Cricetulus griseus: one gene and its partners. The protein of the gene in region 3 interacts with the protein of the main gene of each other region in a pairwise test. Links are inferred from orthologs where the notes say so. Each region holds a gene or a part of one and is shown on either strand. Other genes may lie near its edges.

Region 1 (2,644 bases), on a different chromosome or scaffold from region 3:
TTAGAGTCCTGTAGAAACTGCAGTGGAGAAGTTGGGGCCAGAATTGGGGTCCAAGATAGAGTAAAGATATTTATTTTCTTGGTATTCACATCTCTTCATTTGATTTATTTTTAAAAATCAAGTGGTTTAGAAGTTGATTTAGGAATCACTCTTTTTGTATGACTCCAGTTCTGTTTAAGAAAACGAGTTATTAGGTACCTTCAGACCAGGTAGGAAATTAGTTTGTTTCACATATGCTTAAACTTTTGTAGAAGAGCTAATGATAAAAATTTGGAAAGAATAAGGCAATTACAATCTTTACTAATGACAAGAAGAAACATTATGTCAATATATGTAAACATCAGGGAGTGATAGGGAAATGTTTTTTTTTTTTTCTTCTAAGACAGAAGCTTATTGTTAAATTATTCTTTGGGACAGAAATTTAGAGAATGTCCATCATTTTAGATCAGGCCTTAATGGCACAGGGTACTGTATAAAAGAGTTTCTAGTAACTTTTTAGAAGTGCTAACCTGAACTGTGTGTGAATCACAAGGGCTCTGTTTCTAGGAAGTCCCAGGAACTCTGTTTTTGTGGTTTCTTCCCTCTGCATCAGGAGCAAGAATACACAGTCATTACAGGGAGCTGGGCCTAACTTTGTTTCACAGCATTGTCGGACTGCTTCCCAATGTTGAGTCTTGACTAAATGAGAGAGTGAGACTCTGAGACTTGAGGGAAGGAACCCTTTGTTGCTGAGTTATAAACACTCAGTGGTGTCCTCTCTCCTGTCTGTAGGAGGCCATCATGAAGCCACTTGATCACAAGAACCTGGATCTGGATGTGCCCTACTTTGCAGGTGTTGTAAGGTGTGTGTCACTGTCTCTCCTTGAGCAGGAGAAATGAAACAAGTTAACATTCTATGTGATTATCATGTTATTTCTAAAATATTGATGCAGTGGTAGATGTTACTGGAATTCCTGTTTTCTCTATATATGAAAATGAAATTTTGTTCATTATTTGTATTTTGAACTTCTTTCCTTTTTTTTCTTCAGCACAACAGAAAATGTAGCTGTCTATATCTGGGAAAGCCTCCAGAAACTTCTTCCTACAGGAGTTCTTTACAAAGTAAAAGTTTATGAAACTGACAACAACATTGTAGTATATAAGGGAGAATAGAGATTAGGGTTAATATTAGAGAAAGGCTTAATTGCTTTTAAAAAAGCTCTTTGTCCCTTTAGAATATCCAGCAGTCACCACATACTTGTGTTTCCACGTTGTACTCTAGAATGTCTGAGTGTTAAAATAACTGTAAGATCCACATCTAAATGTATTTAAAAATCAAACTTACAGCATATCCTGAATTTATTTTTGGTGAGGGAGCAGGGGAGAGCTGAGGATTGAAGCCAGGGCCTCACACATGCTAAGCATACCACACTGCATTCCAGTCCTCTCTGTGCCACTGAGAGTATCGTTTTTGTCCAGAGATTAAAAATTATTTCATTCTCAACAAAATATTTTTGTGTGGAATCATGTAAAGGAAAAATAAACACATTTCATAGTATGTATTCTCTGTTATCTATTTCATTTTAGCATTTGTTTTTTTTCTTAGTATAATATAAATAATAAAAATGTTTATGCAATTTATAGTATGTGAACCTTAGGAAAAAATTTTAGAGGGGCATAAAGTCTGGAGACTATATTTCTTTTTAAAGATTTAGTTATTTTTACTTGCATGTGTAATGATATGTACAGTTTATTTTTCATGATATATATAGCTTATTTTGGTCTCATGGCCCATTTGCAATTTATTTGTATAGCAATTTTAAACAAATAACTCAATTTTTTTCAATTTAAACTTCTGTAAGTAAAATGAGAAAAATGTCTACATGGTATTTGTAAGACCTGAAAGACAAAGTACCTTTCAAAGTAATAGCAGCAATCCTGCCTTTCAAGTAATCAATACAAAATACTGCACATGAATAAAACTTTAACAACTAGAGCATACTAAAATTTAACTAAGTGGGCATTGCATTGTCAAAATTTATAATAAAAGTCCTTTATTTATTCCCCATGGGTCTGTTTTTTTGCAGGTGTTCCTGGAATCATAATCAGTGTATAAGCATACTCAGTGTTCATTAGATGGCAATATTCTGAGAATCTAGTATATTCTAGTTGTGATGTGAAGAGAAATACAAAGCCTTATATTTAAGAAGTTTATAATACAAACTGAACACAATATAACAGCTATTTGTGCAGAGCAAGCAAGTTCATTCTTGAGAATTCAGTCATAATGATAGTGAAGAACACTAGGTATATAGTTCAACTTATATGGGTTAATTTAGTGATCAGAGCAAAGCAGGATCAGTCAGGAGAAGTGTACCTTACTGAGTAGCATAGGTCTTTTGTGTTGACTTATGTGGTTACTATGCAGTCTTCTAAGTTAAAATTATGCAGGTGTCCATGACATCTGGAATTCCACACATATATTAACAAGTAGTTTACTGATATCAATGGTATATTTGATGTGTTCCACAGTAGCAGCTCACATTTCAATAAGCAGGTTGAGCCTGTAGTGGATACTATAGTGGATAATGCATGTGAAGGCAGCATCTCCATCAGTCTTGGTATACACTGTCAATATATGTACCAATCTTTGCCTCACATCATG
Region 2 (3,977 bases), on a different chromosome or scaffold from region 3:
AATACTTTTAACCTACAAAGCAGGCTTTTTTATGTCACCTTCAGATTCTTAAACAGCAAAGGGACAACTGTCCTTGTTTGTCTAATCTTCACAATACCAAGACTAAGGGACGGAAATGGGATTCTACATACCAAGTCTTAATTAAGGCTTTTAACTCAACTACTTGTAATTGCTAAGGAAGAAAGCATTTGACCTGGAATGAAAAGCGAAACTTTGCTGCTGAACTTTTTCATTGAAAAAACATTTCTCCATCAACGGGCATTTTCAGATATATCTCATTATGTAAACTTGTCATAAGCTCTACTTAAAGAAAGGAAGGAAGGGTTTTTAAGCTAGCAAGAGAAAATTATTTTGTAAATTTCTATCTTTCTAGTCTTACCGTGACCTCAAGGAAGTAACTCCGGAAGGACTGCAGATGGTAAAGAAGAACTTTGAGTGGGTTGCAGATCGAGTGGAGTTACTCCTGAAGTCAGATAGTCAGTGCAGGGTTGTAGTGCTGATGGGTTCCACTTCTGACCTTGGTCACTGTGAGAAAATTAAAAAGGCTTGTGGAAACTTCGGGATTCCATGTGAACTTCGAGTAACATCTGCCCATAAAGGACCGGATGAAACTTTGAGGATTAAAGCAGAGTATGAAGGTAAACTTAATAAATAAATGGACAACTTCAGCTATTTCTGATTTGGGTAAAATATTTTAAAGTACATATGTTTTGGATAATAATGTTTTAAAGAGGCTTTCCATATTTCGGAGGAAAGTCATGTGGAATGCCTATACTTTTACACTTATCCCCAGGGATAATGTCTGACATCCTATCCCTCTTTGTGTACCTCATGCATGTGATGCCCATAAACTCATGCAGGCACACATACTTGTAATTTTTTTGAATCTTTAAAAAAAAAAAAAAAAAAAGGCTCATTGATTAAGAGGAGCACTCACAGCCATCTAGCTCCAGTCCAGGGGAATCCATCAACTTCTTCTGGCCTCCAGGAGCACTGCACACCACACCCATGCATAGACATGGAGGCAAAACAGCCATACACATAAAATAGAAGGATGTGTGGTCTCCTTGTCTTATTAACAGTGCCCCTTGAGCACTGTTGCTGGCTTATTCCAAAAGAAAAGAATCCCTTACCCCAACTGTGGGATGCCTAAGGCTAAAGCAGCAGGGCCTCTCTGGTATCTTTGTCAGTTTTCTTGAAAGAAAATAAGAAATAAAGCTATAGTTTCAGGAGTTAATACATTAAGTAAATGATAGGATATCGTTGGTACAAGAAAACTTAACAGAAGTGTAGTTAACAATGGGAGGAGGGCTTCCGGTCCTTTAATAAGCTAATGAAGGCTTGGATTCTTTCTCCAGAAAGGCAGACTAAGTTGTAATAAGAAATTCAGGATTCAGTATCCAGCACCACATAAAACCAGGACCTGTAGTCCTAACAGGTGGGAAGGTCGGGTTTGCTGTAATTCAAGCTGAGCCTGGGCTAGAGTAACACTGTATTAAATATACAAACTTCCTAAACTTTTGAGATATAGAGATGTACTTTTGCTGTTGGTTTTTGATACTGCTAATGATGGGCCTTTCAACTCAAGCATCCTAAGCCCTTTAACTTTGGGTGCTTTTACTACATGTACTCCAGCACCCAAATACTGAATACTGGAAGTAGCCACGAGAATTTTAATCACTATTAAATGAGTCTACTGGCACCCTCTGGAAGGACAACTCATCATAAAAGATAGCTGTTCAGCTGGTGAGGTTCTTCATGCTGCTGAGTCTAAGCAGCAATATCAGAAGGAAGCTGTGAACCAGCCATTTCCTTACCAACTTCAGGACATTCTCTTTATACTGTAGATCTCAAAAATGGCCATTCCTATGCTACTTAGGTTATTATTAACTGTACAGCTAGGTATGCTTTTTCTATAGCAGACTACTAAAGGATTTGAGTTCATTTTGTATTTTACATTTATTTTTATAGTATATGTGGAGGTTAGAGAACAGCTTGCAAGAGTCAATTCTTTGCCACTATATGGGTTCTAGAGGTCAAACAGGTCACCAGACTTGGCAACAGTTCCCCTTACCCACTGAGCCATCTAACATGCCCCCCCCCTTTTTTTGTTCCTGCTGTTATTGTCAACAAAACAAAAGGACCTGGTTATCTTGTAATTTCCCTAGGCGATGGCATACCTACTGTATTTGTCGCAGTGGCTGGCAGAAGCAATGGTTTGGGCCCAGTGATGTCTGGTAATACTGCATATCCGGTTATCAGCTGTCCCCCCATCACACCAGACTGGGGTGCTCAGGATGTGTGGTCATCCCTTCGACTGCCCAGTGGTAAGATCTTGAAAATTTTCAGTACTGGGAGTATACACAAAATTTCAAGATGCAATCTTAATGTCTCTACCAGCCTCATCTTCTAATATTTAATTACACATTTTAGCCACAGCCTACTAATTTTAAATCAGACGTTATATTTTTGAATTATTGTGTATTTTTTGCTTAATATGCATCTCTTAAGAAGTAAAGACTTGGCTTTATTATCATCTTTTGTTTTTTTATTTCTTTTTAAGCTACTAACTCATTTATTTGTCCTTTCTATTCTGAACCAATAGGTCTTGGCTGTTCAACTATACTTTCTCCAGAAGGATCCGCCCAGTTTGCTGCTCAGATATTTGGGTTATACAACCATTTGGTATGGGCCAAACTTCGAGCAAGCATTCTTAACACATGGATATCTTTAAAGCAAGCTGACAAGAAAATCAGAGAATGCAATTTATAAAAAAAAAAAAAAAAAGTAATTTTTAGGAGAAAAGTTACACATTCCTAGTTTGAATTAAAAAGAAAGAATTTAAGCAAAATGATTTCACATCAGAGAAAACAATTCAGTTTACTGTTGAACAAAATGGTCCTCTATATTTTAGGGGTTGACAAGTTGTCAGTGAGTATTTGTTATTAATATTTTCTAGTTCTGAATAATGATGTGTTCCTGTAACCTCAGCACACCAGAGGCTGAGGCAGAAAAACTATGTGTTGAGACCCTGTATTGAAATAAAAAAATCTTTATAGTTAGTAAAAATTAGTATGACACTGTTCAATTATATTATCAATCACTACATGATCCTTGTTGGGCAGTTAATGTAACATTAGCAAAGAAATGTCTTTTATGGAGCTGGAGCTGTCTTTCTGGTTTAAGAACCAATGTGGCTCTCTTGCAGAGGACCAGAGAATTTGGTTCCCATCATCCATGTGGAGTGACTCATAATCACCTGTAACTTCTAATTATTTCTAAATGCTAATAATGATTTTTTTGTAAATCAGTAGCTACTGGTTGGTCTTCTGTGGATCATGATTTGAAAATTAAAATATTTCTGTTTATGCTAATAACTATTCTCACTGCATGGTCTGTATGTTCTAAGTCCTTATCTAAGAAAGTACATAGCTACATGAATCTCCAGCTAAGGTATGTGTTTGTGCTTTGTTGGGTTTGTTTTTATGGTGGTGAGGAAACCCTAGGTCCTTACACTTGGTAGGCAAGCACTACCTCTGAGTTACATCTTTACCCATGTTTGCTTGGGGGGTTTTGTTTTGTTTTTAAAGAAATTGAGAATAGGGGTAGAAGAAACACATAAAGTGGAAGTGATGGAAAGGGCTCCTTCCTGAGGTGTTTGTGTATTAGGACAATTCTTGAAAAAAAGTAGTCTCCTTCCCATTCCAATAAAAGACTACGTAAATTATGGCTTAGCCATTTAACTAGGTTTTATGGTAGGTGCCTCTGTGGGCCATAAACTTTGATTTTCTAGTAAAACATTTTGGACACAACTGCAGTCAAAGGAGTGAGTGGATGTAGTGGCTAGTTGTTGGTTTTGCTAGTGAATAGCTGGACAGAGGGCCTAGCCACATTCACTTCTGTAACACCTGACATTACTGAAAAGTCAAATGCTATGTTTCATGAAGCTTAGTTATAGATTCCATCACAGTGTTTCC
Region 3 (4,439 bases):
ATGTATGAGTATTTTGTCTCCATGTATGTATGTGAGCCACATGTGTGCCTGGTGCCTACAGAGGTCATAATGAGTGTCCAGTCTCCTAGAACTAGAATTACAGAGAACCGGGGTTCAATTCCCAGCACCCACGTGGCAGCTCACAACTGTCTGTAATTCCAGTTCCAGAGGACCTCACACCCATGGCAAAATACAAATGCATATAAAATAAAAATTAATAAAATTTAAAAAAAGAATTACAAGTGTTTGTGAGCTGCTATGTGGGTACCAAGAACCAAACTCAGGTCCTCTGGAAGAGCAGCAAGTGTTCTTGACCACTGAGCCATCTCTCTAGCTTCTTTTAGTAGGGTATTTATTTATTTTCTAGACAGGTTTTCTCTGTGTGGCTTTGGAGCCTGTCCTGAAACTAGCTCTTGTAGACCAGGCTGGTCTTAAACTCACAGAGATCCTCCTGTCTCTGCCTCCCAAGTGCTGGGATTAAAGGCGTGCACCATTGCCGGGCTAGTAGGGGTTTTTGGATTAATTACAATTTTTTTTTAAGCCGGAAAGTGGTGGCCCACTACAGAGCGAGTTCCAGGACAGCCAAGGCTACACAGAGAAGTCCTGAGGGTGAACATGAGTGATGTCACACATGTGATGGTCAGAAGACAACTTGCTGGAGGTGGGGGTAGCTCCAGGAATTGACCCCAGTCGTTAGGCTTTATAGTTGAGCATCTTCAAGGACCGATTTTGTTTTGTTTTGTTTGAGAATTTTTCCTGTCTTGAATTTCCTTAGCATTTATGTATCAAATCATGTTGCATTTTCTTTTCGATATGGGCTTGAATTTACTAGAATCAACTTAAGGCAAGCAGGGCAATGACAGGCATTTCTGTAATTTTTGCACTTGGGAGGTATCAGGAATTCAAGGTCACTCCCCAACTGCTTAGTGAGTTCGTGGTCAGCCTAGGATACAGGAGACCCAGTCTCACCAAACTTAAGAAAATCCACTCCAGCCAAGAACCGTGACTCTTGAATCTCCTACAGATGCAGAGAGTCAACACATGCGCATGGACACCAAAACCCGGGGCGCGTGCGCACCGGACACTTTTTGCCTTCGGGCTCCCCCCCACCCCTGCCCGCACTTTGGAGTGTGCGCACCAAGAAAGACAAAGGTGGTGAAAGTGACCAAGCAGTCATTCCGGCGCATGCCCATCCCTAAATTGCTCCGGCTCTGTGGGGCTCACTTGGTGGAGGCGGAAGTCCAATCCGACGGAGCGGGCGCGGCCCCTCCCTTCTCGTGATTGGTTTGCTCACAGTGTTGTGGGGCGGGGAAAGGAAGGGACAGGGATAGTGGAAGGCTGGGGAGCTGGAGATAGAGCGTTCATCTGGTTCTGCGCAAGCGCAGAGGAGCGACCAGGAGGGGGCGTGAGAGAGTAGAAGAGAATGTGGAAGCCCTGACGCGCTGGCGAGCCGGAGCTGGGTCGCTAGCCTGGACGCCTGCGCCTTGGCCCTCGGGCTCCGCGCGCGGCGGGCGGGTGCCCTGTGCGCCTGCGCAGTAGGCGGCGGCGGCGGCGGCAGGGGAGGTGGAGGCCGTGGAGCGGCAGCGGCAGCAGCGGGTCCCGGACTGAGGCAGCAGCGGGGGGCGCCGGCGGGCGGAAGCTGAGGTGACGAAGGCGACGGCGGCGGCCGTTTCTCTCACGGTGGCGGAGACCAAGGCAGTGGCGGACGGGGAGCGGCCCGGCCCCGGCCCCCTGCTCGTCGGCTGTAGCAGGGCCGCCGTGGGGCCGGCCCGACTCCCGCCCCCCGCGGCTCCCCCTCCAGCTCCTCCTCCTGGGAGACGCCGGGGGCCCGGCCCGGCCCGCACTCAGAGCTCTGCCTCCGCTGCTGCCGCGGCAGTCGGAGGTGGTGGCGGCGCCATGGGCGGCCTGGCCTCTGGGGGGGATGTGGAGCCGGGACTGCCCGTCGAGGTGCGGGGCTCCAACGGGGCCTTCTACAAGGTGAGACGGTGCGTCGACCCGGGACACCCTCCTTAGCCCCCTCCCCCAGCCGGAGCAGGGAAGAGTGGAGCGGGCTCGAGTTTCTGGAGCTCGGTCCTGACCCTTAGAACCTCGACCCACGCTCCCACTCGACACCCTCTCGGGGAGACCGTGGGAGTTAACCCTCGTGCTTTTTTCTTTTTGAGCCCGCTGTTACACCTGCTTTCATCCTCAGCTGAAAGCATGAACATCAGGTCATTACTGCGCGTGGATGGGCGCTCCTGGTCCCTCCGGAGAAACCCCTTTACTCAGCTTCTAATTGACTTTTCTTGTTTCTTAGTGGAGGAGCTACTTCAGCTCCTAATCACATCCTTTCCACGGCACAAGCACATGGGAGAGTCTTTCTTTTCCTACATAACCCTCTTGGGAAGGCCCACTGTCCCATATTAGGTCTTCGGTCTTCAGGGAGGTTTCTGCCTACTGGCTCTAAACCATTTACTCAACTTTCATCTTATATTGTAGGTCTCCATCTAAGAAGAAATGATCAAAACCCACGTGTGTTATTTAGCATCTTTGGCCTCAGGCTTTATCAGCCATAAAAGTGGTCTTGTTGGACAAGTCTGTCACCCCACCACACCTTTATCCCGAAACCAGCTACCCAGAGATGGATTCGTGTTTCTCTCTTAGACTACAGCTACATTTAGGTCATTCCTGTGTTTTCTTAAGTTTAGGCTTCCTTAAAAGGGTGTCTCAGCAAGCTTCTTTTCTGTCCTTATTCTAACAGATTTCTACTTGTTGACAGTCTTTTCTGGAAAGAGAAAGTATCTTTCAGAATTGCTAATTTCAGCATTTCTTTGCCCAAGATTTGATTCCTTTGAAGTGTTTTGGGGGGTGGGGTTGTAACATGTCCTAGCCCAGGCTAAACTCCTACCTCAGCCTTTCAAATTCTGTGACTATATTACAGCCTCGATCTATCAGACCAGACCGGCCTTTTGTTTTTTCCTTCTTTCTATTCATACATCCATCCGACTCTCTGCATCTGGGCTCCCCCTCCCCTCCAGTTTAGATTAAGAGTGACTCTTCTTGCTCCACAACTGTTTTCCTTTATCTGGTAGGTGGAATTCTGAACCTCTTTTGAGGTTTTTTGTTTTTGTTTTTTGTACCCCAAGACAGGGTTTCTCTGTGTAACCTTGGCTGTCCTGTGCTCTGTAGACCAGGCTGGCCTCAAGCTCATAGCCTCTGCCCCCAGCACCGCCCAACTGTTGACTTTTATGTGTGGAATTGTCCTAGAAACTTTTGATCCACCCCTTACTCTTTACTCTGAAGAGGGATTTTCATAGCATCAGGTAAGTTAGAGGAGCTGCCTCACTTGAGTTCTCAGGTCCATTCCCCTTCCCCAGGAGACCTTTCTGCTTTCTCATGCCCTTGGAAACTACTTTCTCTGACTACTATGAAATTGTATCTTTTGTAGCTGAAGAAGGACTTGTGCTTGCCCTTGTAGATGGTTTCTGCCCCCACTTGACTGATAAGTTGGATTTTACTCACTATAAATGCCATGCCAGTTTTGCCTGCCTTTTCTGATTAAGTTCTTTACCCTTTATTCAGTGCATATGGGTGTACATATCTATTAGTCTCAGCGTATCCTCTCAATTAAATCTTGGGCTGTTCATCTTGATATATATATTTAATTTTATGTACAATGGTGTATTGCTTGCATGTATGTCTGTGTGAGGGTGTCAGATCCCCTGGAACTGCAGTTACAGACAGTTGTGAGCTGTCATGTGGGTGCTGGGAATTGAATCAGGGTCTTCTGGAAGAGCAGCCAGTGCTCTTACTGTGGAGCCATCTCTCCAGCCCTTAACTTGATGTTTCTGTATTCCTGTGTAATCTTCACTGATGTCCATCTATTCTTTGTATAGCTGAAGAAAGCTCCCAGCTGATCTCTGACACTATCACTTTCCTTGCTAACTCTTGGTACTTTTTCTTCTGACTGGAAGAATATCTTGATAACATTTGTTTTCTGTGGCAAAAGTCTCAAATTCCTATCAGGTTCTGTAGGACACACACACACACTTTTTTTTTTTTTTTTTTTTTGCGACCGGGTTTCTCTGTGTAGCCCTGGCTTTCCTGGAACTCATTGTGTAGATGTAGACTGGGCTGGCCTACACTCACTGGGATGGTTCAGCTTCTGTTGACTAGGGGATTAAAAGCATCCACAACCACGCCCAATTTGGAAAATGATTGTTAAATTGAGTATGAGATCAAGATAAGATACTTTTGTTCTAGAAAGCATGGGAGCCTTGCACAGCTGAGAAGGATTAGTGCTGAGTTCAAATTAACTGTATGAAATGGTTGGGAAGGGTGTGTTTTCTGTTACATATGTGAGTATCCAGTATCAAACAGATAGTCTCTGGATTTTTTTCATTTTTACCTGTGGGCCATAGCAGTGACAGATTTGAGTGAAGGGGGCCAGATTCTCTGAT

What was found.
Region 1: the proteins of Fxr2 (region 3) and Pts interact in binary tests that used the Homo sapiens proteins (3 or more experiments, as listed by UniProt). The two-hybrid records come from large-scale screens. The link is inferred for Cricetulus griseus from reciprocal best matches to the Homo sapiens genes FXR2 and PTS.
Region 2: the proteins of Fxr2 (region 3) and Paics interact in binary tests that used the Homo sapiens proteins (3 or more experiments, as listed by UniProt). The link is inferred for Cricetulus griseus from reciprocal best matches to the Homo sapiens genes FXR2 and PAICS.

What each region holds. Positions count from the first base shown.
Region 1 is NC_048597.1:162,277,524-162,280,167, reverse strand, and holds the end of Pts (6-pyruvoyl tetrahydrobiopterin synthase), read left to right. Parts: intron 1-771; coding exon 772-842; intron 843-1,028; coding exon 1,029-1,152; 3' UTR 1,153-2,044; downstream 2,045-2,644. UniProt on the Homo sapiens protein: Involved in the biosynthesis of tetrahydrobiopterin, an essential cofactor of aromatic amino acid hydroxylases. Catalyzes the transformation of 7,8-dihydroneopterin triphosphate into 6-pyruvoyl tetrahydropterin.
Region 2 is NW_023276807.1:143,382,167-143,386,143, forward strand, and holds the end of Paics (multifunctional protein ADE2), read left to right. Parts: intron 1-373; coding exon 374-638; intron 639-875; exon of another isoform or gene 876-2,168; coding exon 2,169-2,327; exon of another isoform or gene 2,328-2,351; intron 2,352-2,605; coding exon 2,606-2,772; 3' UTR 2,773-3,377; downstream 3,378-3,977. UniProt on the Homo sapiens protein: Bifunctional phosphoribosylaminoimidazole carboxylase and phosphoribosylaminoimidazole succinocarboxamide synthetase catalyzing two reactions of the de novo purine biosynthetic pathway.
Region 3 is NC_048600.1:83,475,135-83,479,573, forward strand, and holds the start of Fxr2 (fragile X mental retardation syndrome-related protein 2), read left to right. Parts: upstream 1-1,540; 5' UTR 1,541-1,896; coding exon 1,897-1,977; intron 1,978-4,439. UniProt on the Homo sapiens protein: mRNA-binding protein that acts as a regulator of mRNAs translation and/or stability, and which is required for adult hippocampal neurogenesis. Specifically binds to AU-rich elements (AREs) in the 3'-UTR of target mRNAs.